Macaca mulatta: one gene and its partners. The protein of the gene in region 3 binds, or shares a complex with, the protein of the main gene of each other region. Links are inferred from orthologs where the notes say so. Each region holds a gene or a part of one and is shown on either strand. Other genes may lie near its edges.

What was found. Proteins that work in one complex are often made in the same cells at the same time.
Region 1: NUP205 (region 3) and CETN3 share a complex: the UniProt entries of both Homo sapiens proteins name them as parts of the nuclear pore complex. The link is inferred for Macaca mulatta from reciprocal best matches to the Homo sapiens genes NUP205 and CETN3.
Region 2: NUP205 (region 3) and centrin-2 share a complex: the UniProt entries of both Homo sapiens proteins name them as parts of the nuclear pore complex. The link is inferred for Macaca mulatta from reciprocal best matches to the Homo sapiens genes NUP205 and CETN2.

Annotation. Positions count from the first base shown.
Region 1 is NC_133411.1:96,792,228-96,796,189, reverse strand, and holds the start of CETN3 (centrin-3), read left to right. Parts: upstream 1-1,154; 5' UTR 1,155-1,273; coding exon 1,274-1,290; intron 1,291-3,116; coding exon 3,117-3,252; intron 3,253-3,962. UniProt on the Homo sapiens protein: Plays a fundamental role in microtubule-organizing center structure and function. As a component of the TREX-2 complex, involved in the export of mRNAs to the cytoplasm through the nuclear pores.
Region 2 is NC_133426.1:159,105,998-159,110,092, forward strand, and holds the start of centrin-2, read right to left. Parts: upstream 2,809-4,095; 5' UTR 2,785-2,808; coding exon 2,782-2,784; exon of another isoform or gene 2,416-2,781; intron 1,834-2,415; coding exon 1,675-1,833; intron 1,353-1,674; coding exon 1,224-1,352; intron 754-1,223; coding exon 616-753; intron 27-615; coding exon 1-26. UniProt on the Homo sapiens protein: Plays a fundamental role in microtubule organizing center structure and function. Required for centriole duplication and correct spindle formation. Has a role in regulating cytokinesis and genome stability via cooperation with CALM1 and CCP110.
Region 3 is NC_133408.1:175,386,780-175,390,771, reverse strand, and holds the start of NUP205 (nuclear pore complex protein Nup205), read right to left. Parts: upstream 2,806-3,992; 5' UTR 2,789-2,805; coding exon 2,761-2,788; intron 1-2,760. UniProt on the Homo sapiens protein: Plays a role in the nuclear pore complex (NPC) assembly and/or maintenance. May anchor NUP62 and other nucleoporins, but not NUP153 and TPR, to the NPC.

The DNA.
Region 1 (3,962 bases), on a different chromosome or scaffold from region 3:
TAGCTTGTTCTATCATACTATCTTTACTTGTGCAAATTTAGCCCATCCTTGTAGGTCTAACGTTTATGCCACCTCTTTAGGAAGCCCATCTTGTGCTCTCTCCCTTCTCTAAAATTTTATATACATCCCTTAAACATATGTTTACATATTCTCCGCCTTCAACTCCCATTCTCAGGCTATTTTATTCCCGTTTATGAGATTTGCTGTTTAGCTCAGTATTTTGTGGGTTTTCAAAAGATTCCACTCAATTTACCGAGCACCTATGCACCAGACATTTTATTAGGTACAAGGAAAAGCGTTAAATAGATATAATCATGGCCTTCAAGAAACTGAACCTGGTAAGGGAGACGAATAAGTAGACATTCAAGTGAGCTTTAGGAGACTTGGTTTGGTAGTGAATACAGTCTCACGTGTATTAACAATTTACAGCACCGTAAAATAAGAGACAGAAGCCAACAAATCCGTTTCAAACAGTTCAAAGGAGGAAAAGGAGAGGGAAGGGCGGTTTAGATACAGCATCACCATAAATAGCCTGATAATCTAACCCTGTGATAATCCAAGTATAGTCACAGCACCTGCCTCAGAATCACTTGGAAGGCTTGTGAGGAATACAAACGCAGATTCATACCTACTGAAATTAGAATGGAGAAAGGGGCATTTAAGTCTGCATTTTAAAGACATTCCCCAGGTACTGAAGCCATCCAAAGTTTTAGAACAGAGCAGAGCCACGCTTCGCAGACCTTGTTCCTCAACTACTGCCTCCTTCTAGCCGGAGGGTGGCGTGCAGCGTGTCCCTTCCCTTCCCACCGTCCAAGTTATCTATCCAGTTTTCGAACGTCGGCCCACAGACCGCAGGACAATACGCGAGAGACTAGGAGCACCCACTACGCAAACCACCACACAGGGATCGGAGGCCGGACCCGCAAAGGATTTGGGGAAAAAGGCATCAGGCCAATCCGAAGGGCGAGAGCGGCCCTAGGAATGGAGGGGCGGGGTGGGTGGCGGGGGGGGGGGGGCGGGGAGAGAGAGGTTTTTTTTTTTTCTTGATTGACGTAAAGCGTACCCAATTAAAATAAAACTGGTAAAGCTTCCGCCATAATGGGCAGAACCATAGCGACATTTCAACCAATCCAGCTCAAAAGTGTCTATGTTGTGGGAGGTCCCTGAGGCCGCTGAGGTCGTTCGTGTCTGTTGAACGGTTGTGGGAGTCTTGCTGCTTTGGGTAGGGGGTTAAAATCGTTTCTTGAGAGGAACGACTCTGTCCGAAGAGATAATGAGTTTAGCTCTGAGGTCGGTAATAAGGAGGCGGCAGTGCTCTCCACACCCCGGAGCGGGACCTAGGGAGGGTGTGTGTGGAAGGGAGGCCGTTTGGGGCCGTGGCGAGGCAGGGGATGCTGTTTGGGATGCGGGAAAGGAGCCTAGGGCAGCCTGTCTGGATCACTCACCCTCTGGGCTCTGGTGCCCTGCAGGGAACGAGACTTCCAGTGCATTTCTACTAAGGAGGTTATTTCTGTCAGCGCGTAGGGCTTTCGACTACCAAAAAAATGGGCTTAGTTGCGAGCGAGGGGGAGGGAATGAAATATCGCGAGGCTTCTACTCTGTTGCTCTGAGAGATCAGGCCGCGGAACATCCCTTCATTCAATTCGTATGCCTGGCCAGGGCCCCACCTCCGCTGCTCTGCTGCTGATGCAATCATCCACCTATAAATTTTGGAAATAACAAAAAACTCTTTGCTATTCTCCCAAGGTCCTGCTTTACGGTGTAATTAGAAACCCATTTTAGTGACTAATTGGCAAACTGTCTCTTGGATTTCCTGTTTCTTTCATTTCTTTACCTTTCAGTTCTAACCTCTAACCCTCTGTCTGTTACCCGCTCCCCCTACGTAGACGTTGTACCGTAAAACTATACATATACTTAGGACACTCTAAAAATGTTCCATGTTCTGCTAAGGGATAATCATGGTACCCTTGGATGGGGTCAGGGGTGGGTCGGTTCTGGACTTGGCCTCTAAAAGTCTCAGGAAGGAAAAGACTGACCCCAGGAATACCCAAGTTTGTGTCAAGTCAGGTCTCATGAAAGGAAGATCTTCCTCAGCTTTGTCATACTGCATCTACTGGTCACTTCCTAGCCTTTTTTTTTTTTTTTTTTTTTGTAGCGTTCAGAGACCAAAACGACTTTCAAATGCAGCTAGATACGTGTTTTAAATACAGTCAACTGGTTTTGACATGTTAATGTGTTACCAGATTGTGTGTTTCAAAACTTGTTCTTATACCAGTGTTGCGGCTCCATTGGAAAACTTGGAGCACATTTAGATGGGCAGCTCTTACGGAAAACATTTCTGGCTTTAAAGTAATTTTTGCTTTTTTCTTTAAGCGTTTCCAGAGTTTATGAGAAGTTTAACCTCCAGTTTACATCTTAAGTGAGACAAGACTTATGAAGCACAAATATTGTATACTTTTTTGACATCTAATATTTGTCATATGTTTAGACTCATTAATATTTTGGGTGATTTGTTAATATCAGTGGAGGAAATGACACATAAATTGCCAAACTGTTAGAAACGTGTAATCTAAAAACATTTTGAACCAACAGTCCCAAAATATAAGTTAATCCAGTTGTATTTTTTGTAGTAATTTTATGAACTTAATTATCAGAACTATCAAAAGTAAACCGATATATGGTGATTGTCAGTTACGAATTTTGGTTTCATTTGGAGATTTTTTGGTTTCTTTAACATTCTTGTAGAATAATGTGAGTGTTTTTGTTTTTTTTTGGTTGGAGTTGGTTGGAGTTTCAGACATAAAAGTAATGTTGCTTATTCACAGTTCTTGAATAAATAAAAAGTTAGGGAAAGTGGGAATAAATAAAAAGCTGGGAAAAGGAAAAGTTTGGTCCTCATTTCTTTTAATAATCTGTAACACTCTTTAGTTTTGGGAAGTTCATATTTATAGCAATTTAGACTATGGAATAAACAGGGCATTGACTCATAAAGGGAAAGTTTCCCTGTCTTTCTCCAAAGTACTTTCTTTTTTGAAATTTAGAAAATAATTATTGGCTAATTTCTGTTAGTAAAGAGAATTAAAGTGGACTAAGGGCTTTTTCTTTCCATTTCATAGAAGTGAGCTTGTAGTAGACAAAACAAAGAGGAAAAAAAGAAGAGAACTGTCTGAGGAACAGAAACAAGAAATTAAAGATGCTTTTGAACTATTTGATACAGACAAAGATGAAGCAATAGATTATCATGAATTAAAGGTAATGGTATACTTTAAAATACTTGTTTCTGTGTTAAAATGATTTGCATTTTGACAGTTGCTTTACATTACATTTCTAAGTAATTATTTTAACTAAATTGGTTTTGGAACTATGAAGGCATTTTAAGCATTCATAGTTAGATTCTATAATAATACTGAATAGAACTCCTAACACAGTTTTTAGAAAATCTTTTTCACGTGATAAAACGAATAGCATTTTAAATGTAACAATACATTCCTAGGGAAGGTGCTTATTTTTCACTGACATAATTAAAGGATTTCAAACTGGAATTTAAACTATTACCATATTCTTTTCACTGTTTTTTTTGTTTTTGTTTTTGTTTCTTGGTGACTCATACTGTTTTCAGATTGTGGGATTGTTGTCTTTTAATCTTATAATTTGTATTTGTTAGTAACATAGTCTCAATCCACTTTCTGTGGTACAAACAACTTCAGTGCTGTTTGATGTTGACACATGCTTGTAGGTAAAAATGTCAACTTTAAGACCTAGAATGTCAAGGTGTAGAGAGGGATTTGTAAATTATTATTTGTCAGGGTATAAGGAGAGATTTGGGTTTAGGGTAGAATGGGACTTACTTTCAGCACAGTGGGAAAGATAGTATTTTGAGATTTTTAATAGCCTTAATGGATAGGTGAATGTAAGTGTTTATTTGATAGTTTTAATTTTTGTAATTTCTTAAGGGATTTTTA
Region 2 (4,095 bases), on a different chromosome or scaffold from region 3:
TCTCGATCAGCTTCATCAATCATTTCCTATATGACAGTAAAGATTCAGGTTAGATTAATTTATAAACTAATGCCAAAAGGTGACTAAGTAATATGACTCTTTTTAGAGACGGGGTCTCTATGCTGCCCACACTACTCTCAAATTATTGGCCCCAAGCGATCCTCCTGCCTCAGCCTCCTAAAGTACTGGGATTACATGCATGAGCCACTGTGCCTGGCAAGCAATAGACTTTTAATAACACTATGTGAATAGATAATTGTAGTCCACCCAATGCCAGTATGCCACTCCTGATAATAGCTTGGTTCCTGAAAACTTATTTGAAAACCAACTCATACTTTGTCAAACATTATCACCTGGGAGGGAGCTTGAAGATTACCTTGACTAGAGGGATTCCTGGAATGTAAAATAGTAGGCAAAACTGTGCCTATGTGCATTTTTCTGGAAGCAGCGTTCATAGGTTTGTCTGACTATTAAAGGAGAATTCAGTTGTCCACAGAGGGACAAAGTACACTGGCTTTCCTTCAAAGAAGTGCTCACACTAGGGAAAATGTAACAGAAAAGTCACAGAGGGCCCAAAGGTGGGAATCTTAAGTTCCAGTGTGATGCATTACAAACCTGCAGCTCCTCATCAGTCAGGTTCTCACCCAACTCCTTGGCCACGCGTTTCAGATTTTTGAACGAAATCTTCCCAGTTTCATCATCATCAAAGAGCTTGAAAGCTTTCAGGATTTCTTCTTTGGTATCTTTCTCAGACTTACCAAATAGAACATGAAACACATGAGTAGGGGGACACCATGGTTACTCATGTCCTGTAGCCCTGCCACTGCCCGGTCAGGTCACCCTTTCCTTTTTAACAATGTAACTCGAGTCTAGACTTGCAGCAAGTGTCAGGAAGCCCATTTTGGCCTCAGAGAAACACCAGTCAAGCCAGGCACTCCATCCAAGGTGACGTTTGCTCCCTATCCCTATATCTCTCCCTATCCCATATCTATTTCCTAACTGGTTTAGAATTCTGTGGGAAGAGGTATCTGCTTGGAAGTCTTGAGAAAGAAGTACAAGGGCTTGTTTTGGGAGCCCAAGGTAACATGATGGGAGGGCAGGCCTCCTGATGCAGCTGCTACCTGGACTGCTCTGTGGTCACATGACTGTTTTAACAGGCAGATGCCATGGGCCTCTGCAGATGACTGGGGCGCCATACCATGCAAATTGTCTTAGCTACTCACCATTTTCTGGGTCATCACAGTTAAAAAGTCACCAAAGTTCATTTTTCCTGTCCCTTCTTTGTCAATTTCACTTATCATTTTCTTAATTTCTTCTTTCTTAGGTTCAAAGCCCAGGGCCCTCATTGCCACCTATAATGAAAACAGGATTGTCTCAATAAGCACATCTGAACTAGCAGCAGCAAAAACAACAGTGTTGAGAGCATTAAGCCAGCATCTGATGTGGTCATGTTAATATGATTGGGGAACACTATAACATTGATCTAATTGACATTTGCAATCAATTTTATTTAATAATACTCTAAGTAAAGACAGGAAAACAGAGCACAGTACAACCTCCCCTGTTACTTATTGCAGGGAGAAGAGGGCAAAAGGGGTAGAGAGGTGATAGGGAGATGACAAGGAAGAGGCAGAGGAAAGGAAGGGCAGTACGGCAGGAATGCATAGAGCTTGCCTTAAGTTCTTTAACATCTATGGTGCCAGTTCCATCCGCATCGAAAAGATCAAAAGCTTCCCGGATCTCCTGCTTCTGCTCTTCAGTAAGCTCAGGCTTAGGACTCATTCTTTTTCTCTGGGAACTTGATGCCATGTTTGTCTTCTTAAAGTTGGAGGCCTTCATACGTTATGCAATACACAAGCACAATAATATATCGTACAGTCCATATTTACATAACATAGTTACAGACACCCATATGTAGTTTTAAATAATTTTATGGCAACCAATTCCAAAGCTTTGCTTAACAAGAAAGATAACAGGGTTTACTGGCAAGAACAATGAATCTTTCCATGAACTTCTATCCCTCCCTTTTCTTTACTGTCGTTTCTAGAAGCAGGGAGATCACTTGTTCAGTAAGGATACCTCTTACTGAAAATCATCCCAAAAGAGAGCTAGTCAAGAAAATGACTGCGAATAAGTAGAGATAATCAGCTCTTCCCGAATGTGGGGATCCTGGTTCTGGAAACTGCCTTACAATGCCCACTCCCAGTACTCCGCTTCCCAGTAAGCACTCTGACTTCCCAATTACTTCTAGATTTGGCCAAATATTAGCAAGTTGTTAAGATGTATATTGTGTCAGTATCGAGTAATAAAACTCAATCCATCTGACACCTTCGTGCCTTCTCCAAGAAGCTACAGCATCCCCTGAATGCCCCTATATTTAAATTGTAAAAAACACTTTAATAGAACACAATACACCTTCTCCCAGCTCTGTGTGGAAATTTTGGCAGAATGAGGCGGCCAGGGGGCCAAGGTCTGAGAAAGTCAGGGGCCTGTGAGGGATTCGAGTCTTTTTTGCCCAGGGAGGTTCACCGAGGTGATCAGGGAAGGCCAGGGGAGCCCGAGGGGCGGGTGTGGGCCTGTTGTGGGTGAAGGGGAGGCAGCAGCAAAGCGCAGGCCCAGTAGGTTGGTTAGCGTCTGTACCCTACTCTTCCGGGAAAGAGCTCAAAGGAAGGACTGGTGCGTCAAAGCCGAGAAAGGCGCAGGAGAGGCGGCGTGGCCGAGCTGGGGCCTGGGAAGGGCTCAGCCTCTGGGCGTGGGGCGCGACAGAGCGGCAGCACTCACCATAGCCAAAGGAGTCCACGGCCGGTTGTTAGGCAACCGACGTGTACACTGATTCGGCGCCGCTCCCACCGCCCCGCGCGCACAGCCCCGCTCCCCATTGGGCGTCCGCTCGCCGCCGCCGCTCCCTACTGGTGCAGGGCCGAAGAGGGTGGGACTAACCTGGCAAAGCCCAGGCCCAGCGCGGGGAGGGGCACGCTGGGGACAGAGACCTGTCTTTATTGGGCAAGATCAAGCCGTGAGCGCCAATTGGCTGAGCCGACGCCGAGCTGGGCCAATCCTCTTGGTAGAAGAAGCTCGGCTGATTCTCGGCTCACGCGGGAGGGGAGTAAAGGGTGGCGTTCCGGGGCTGGAGTTCGGTGGGTGCAGCCTGCTTGCGAGCTGAGGCCAGCCAGTGGGGCACCTGCGGACGGGTAAGAGTCGTGGCCTTGCCCTTGGAGGCCACCCTGTGTCAGCGACTGGGCGGGGCGGGAGGGTGAGGAGCTGCGGGGCCGCCCGGGTCGGGTGCTTTCTGTGCTGACCTAAGGCTGAGTTAGGGACCGAGTGCATCAGAGCAGCCAGAGACGATTGACCTTGCGTGTTGGAGCAGGGACTGTACTCACGGGGCAACTGAGACCCGGAGAGGGGAAGGGGTCTGCTGAGCGTTGTGGCAGAGGTCGGACGGCTGGGACCTAGGAACTGAATCCAGCCGAGGCTCGCTCTTTGAGGGTGGCCCTTCGAGAGCACCCCCAGACTGACCCAGATGTGTAGGCCCCAGACCAGGTTCCAAGAGAGGATCACTTCAGGTCTTACCTGGCTAAAAACAGCCCAGGACGGTGAACTGGGGGCTTTGGGAACGGACTTTGAAAGGAGTGAAGGGGATGTGAGCAAGCAAGAGGGGCGGGGAGAGGTCATCAAAATATACTCTTTTTGACACCCACACAGTGCAGATAAGGAGGAGCATTCCAGGCCGAGACGCCCTCATCAGCAGAGTCACAGGAGTTTTGGAAGTGAGAGGTATGCTTGGAGAATTAAAAGGGAGCGTGTGCAAGGGCTGTGTGGACTGAGACAGACCTGCAGAAGTGGAGCTGGAGGTCCAGTTTGCCCTCTTTAGCTGTCTACGTGGCTTTTAGCCTTCACCTGATTTTCCTCCAGGCACTGGGGCAGTAATCTAGGGAAGTAGAGGGCAGAAAGTAAGTTTTTCAGGCAGAGAAAGGCCTGAGGCTTATTAGAACCTTTTAAATGGAGCTTCTGCCCTTTGCCCTCTTCAGCAGTGAACAGACTCCTAATTTTTGGGTCATCATCATCCCCCCAAGTAGTACGAGCCAGAGTTCTCAT
Region 3 (3,992 bases):
GACCAACCATAAGTCTTAGAACTCTACAATCTCTATATTTTTTCCTTACAACTCTAAGATGTTTGATTTTTTAAAACTAATTTAAAGGAAGCACATAACACAGAATGCAATCTCCACAAATTTTAAGTGTACAGTTCAGCAGTGTTAAGCATATTCACATTGTGCAACAGATCTTCAAAGCTTTTTTCATCTTGCAAAATAGAAACTCTATGCCCCCTAAACAACTCCCCATTTTCCCCTTTCCCAGCTCCTGGCAACCACCATTCTACTTTCTGTTTCTATGAGTTTGACTACTTCAGATACCTCATATAAGTGGAATCATGCAGTATTTGTGTCTTGTGACTGGCTTATTTCACTTAGTATGTCCTCAAGATTCATCCACATTGTTTTATGTGACAGGATTTCCTTCCTTTTTAAGGCTGCATAAAGATATTATGTATATGCATGTATACGTTATGTATATGCATATACATTATGTATATTGCATGTATATGACACATTTCCTTTACCCACTCAACCCGACATTCATTACTTGATGGAAAAAGAGTTCCTTCCCTACCACGTTTAGTTTTTTAAAAAAACCACCTCCTGACTCTTGGCTTTTAAAACTCTTGGTTTTACCGCTAACACGGTAAGACCCCGTCTCTACTAAAAATACAAAAAAAAATTAGCCCGGCGCGGTGGTGGGCGCCTGTAGTCCCAACCACTCCGGAGGCTGAGGCAGGACATTCCTTGAACCCGGGAGGCGGGGCTTGCAGTGTGTGGCGATCGCGCCACTGCACTCCAGCCTGGGCGACAGAGCGAGACTCCGTCTCAAAATAATAATAATAATAATAAGCCAGGCTAGCCAAGCATGGTGGCAGGCGCCTGTAATCCCAGTTACTTCGAAGGCTGAGGCAGGAGAATTGCTCGAACCCGGGAGGCTGAGGCTGCAGTGAGCCGAGATCATGCTACTGCACTCCAGCCTGGGTGACAGGGTGAGACTCCATCTCAAAAAGAGAAAAAAAAGAAAGGAAAATAAATGTATATACCCTGCGCGCTGGCTCACACCTGTAAACCTACCACTTTGGGAGGCAGAGGCAGAAGGATAGCGTGAGGACAGCAGTTCGAGATCAGCCTAGACAACATGGAGAAACCCTGCGTCTACTAAAAATACAAAAATTAGCCCAGCGTGGTGGCGCGTGCCTGTAATTCCAGCTACTCGGGAGGCTGAGGCAGGAGAATTGCTTGAACCTGGGAGGCAGAGGTTGCAGCGAGCCGGGTTCGCATCACTGCACTCCAGCCTGGGAGGCAGAGCAAGACCCCATCTCAAAAACAAAAAATTAAAAAATAAAATAAAATAGAGAAATTATATATAACCACACGTATAACACGCAACCCTTGCTTTTAAGCATATCTAATTGGGAAGGAAGGACAGCAATATTAAGCATGTAACTTCATTACTAACCTTCTAATATATGTCTAATATCATAAAATGAATTAGGTTGTGCTTAAGTAGTAGCACTAAGTAGTTTAAGCACCTAAGACTGGCTTAGAATCATTAGATGTTTAACTCTGGGGACATTACGTAACTATTTGAAGTCTCTATTTCCAAATCTGTAAAATAGTGTATTTAACAGCAACTACTCCAAAGGGCAACTGAATGAGATAAGCACAATAATAAGCGTAAAGCTGGGATATAGTATGTGCTCAGTAAGCATAGCTTTCATTATAATTTATCACAGCGTTTCTGAAATGATTTGATTTACAAAGCAGATTTAGACAACTTTTCGAGAATATCAGTCCTGTGGAAAATAGAACCAATACTTTAAAAAGTGACTGTAAAGAAACAGAAAATGCACCCAGGAAAGAGTCCTTTTAAGTGAGATTCTTACAAGCATTTACCACACAAATGTACTCTTAATCTTGCCCGCGAAGTTCTGAGCATCTCAACCGAGGCATTAACATTCTAAGCGCCAAATTCTTTCCCCGGACTGCTCTGCCCATGAAGGACTTTCTGCATCCTTGCTCCGCCTACTATGCGACAGCAGCGTACCCCAGGAAATATGACAATCAAAATGCACTCACTCATTCAGACACCACTGGAGGGCGGTACCGCCCGAACTGAGAATCACCAAAAGAGGATCCACCCCAAATCTTCCAGAATTCCTTTACTACCTTCTAGATTCAATTCCACCCCGAAAATCTACAGCTCCAAAGGTACAAGAACATCCAGGGCCTAACCACACCCGCAGAGTTAGGAGACGTCCGCTGAAGCCCCGCCACCCTCTTCCTGACCACCTTTCAGATGGCCGACTTCATCATCGGGAGTATTCGCCGCCTGCAAGATCTCCCACCCTCTAAGAACACCGGCGCCTACTTTCAGCCTCTGCTCGTGGCTGGAAAATATCTCGGGTCCTTTGGCTTCACTGCTGAAGACCTGTCGCTATTCCGGCGAAATCTGGACCACAGACGCACAGTGGAACTTGGGGGTAAGGGGGCCAGGCTTAGCCCTGGGCTGTGAGAGATTAAACACCTGGGTCCAGCGGCCCAAGCCTCACTACCTCGACTCTCAAACGCCAACTCAAGGGCTAGAGCCGCAGCACCGACGCGCGCCATTCAAACTGGGGAGGGGTGAGACTCTAGGCCCAGAATTAGGGAAAAGGAGGCACCGCACATAAGTTGGGTCCTAGACTCCGAGAAACCCCACGGTCTCGTCTCTCCCTGAAGACCTGGTCATCGCTCAGCTCAATCATCTCCTTTCTGTCTGGCCACACTTACCCGAATTTACCGCCAAAGGCGTCGCCATCTTAGAGGCGCACTAACAGAGCCCTTCTGCCGCATGGAGGCCCCAGGAAGGGGTGAGGCTGCCCTGAGTGAAGCCTGAACAAAAAGGCACCAGGCTGTCCCCTCCACGCTGGGCCGTCCCAGGTGTACAGAAGGCTCCAGAATCTGCTCTGGGTCACAAGTATCAATTTTCATTGGGATTATTCCCATTCAAATAAGGCGAGGGCAACCACTTCAGAGACACGAGGTCCTCGATCGGACGTTCATCGTGTAGTGCATCCTGGGACTTGTAGTTTCTTTCTAATGATGAATTGGTTAAGTGGAGAGGAAAAAGTAAAGTGGAATAGAAAAAGATATTCTGAGAGTAGTTATTAAAATGACGCCCACTTATGAGATTATAAAAGCCGTAAATTCAAATCATTAGCTCCGTTTCAAGTTAAATCTTCCTTACAGTGGGGAGTGGAGTAAGGTGTGAAGTGTCTACACCTCAAAAAGTCATTGACCAGTTAAAAACTAAGTTTCCGTGACATTTCAATTTACCAAGTATGTTGTGTCAACATAGTTGCGTAGAGCGAAACAAATCATAATTTTTAACTATAAAATTTTCAAATGGATACAAAATTAGCATAGTGAACAGGCAGCATCAATAACGTGGCCAATTTCCCACCACGGCAGCCCCAACCCACCCTTACCACCCCAGCACCTTATCCTCCCCACCCCCCGCCCCCGATTATTTTGAAACAAATTCCAGACATATCGTTTCATAATCACCAAGTATTTTTCTACCTGAGCAACCAAAGTAGCTGAACTCTCTTTCCTCAGTTGTTAAATTTTAGTTTACTGATTTTCAAACTAAAATATAATCATTGCTATTTACAGCTATGTATTAAGAATTTTACAGCCATTATTTCATTTAATCCCTGCAAACCATTCTATTGGGAAAATGATCTGATTATAGCTATGTCAGCGATGTTCTATGTGCCTTACAATCTCATTGTATCAACTCTCCATCATTCCCATTTCACTGTTGGAAATTAGAATCAAATAATTTAGACAAAAGCACAGAGTATGTTAACAATATCCAGAACTGGCTGGGTGCGATGGCTCATGCCTGTAATACCAGCACTTTGGGAGGCCAAGGTGGGCGGATCACTTAAGGTCAGGTGTTTGAGACCAGCCTGGGCAGCATGGTGAAACCCCGTCTCTACTAAAAATATAAAAATTAG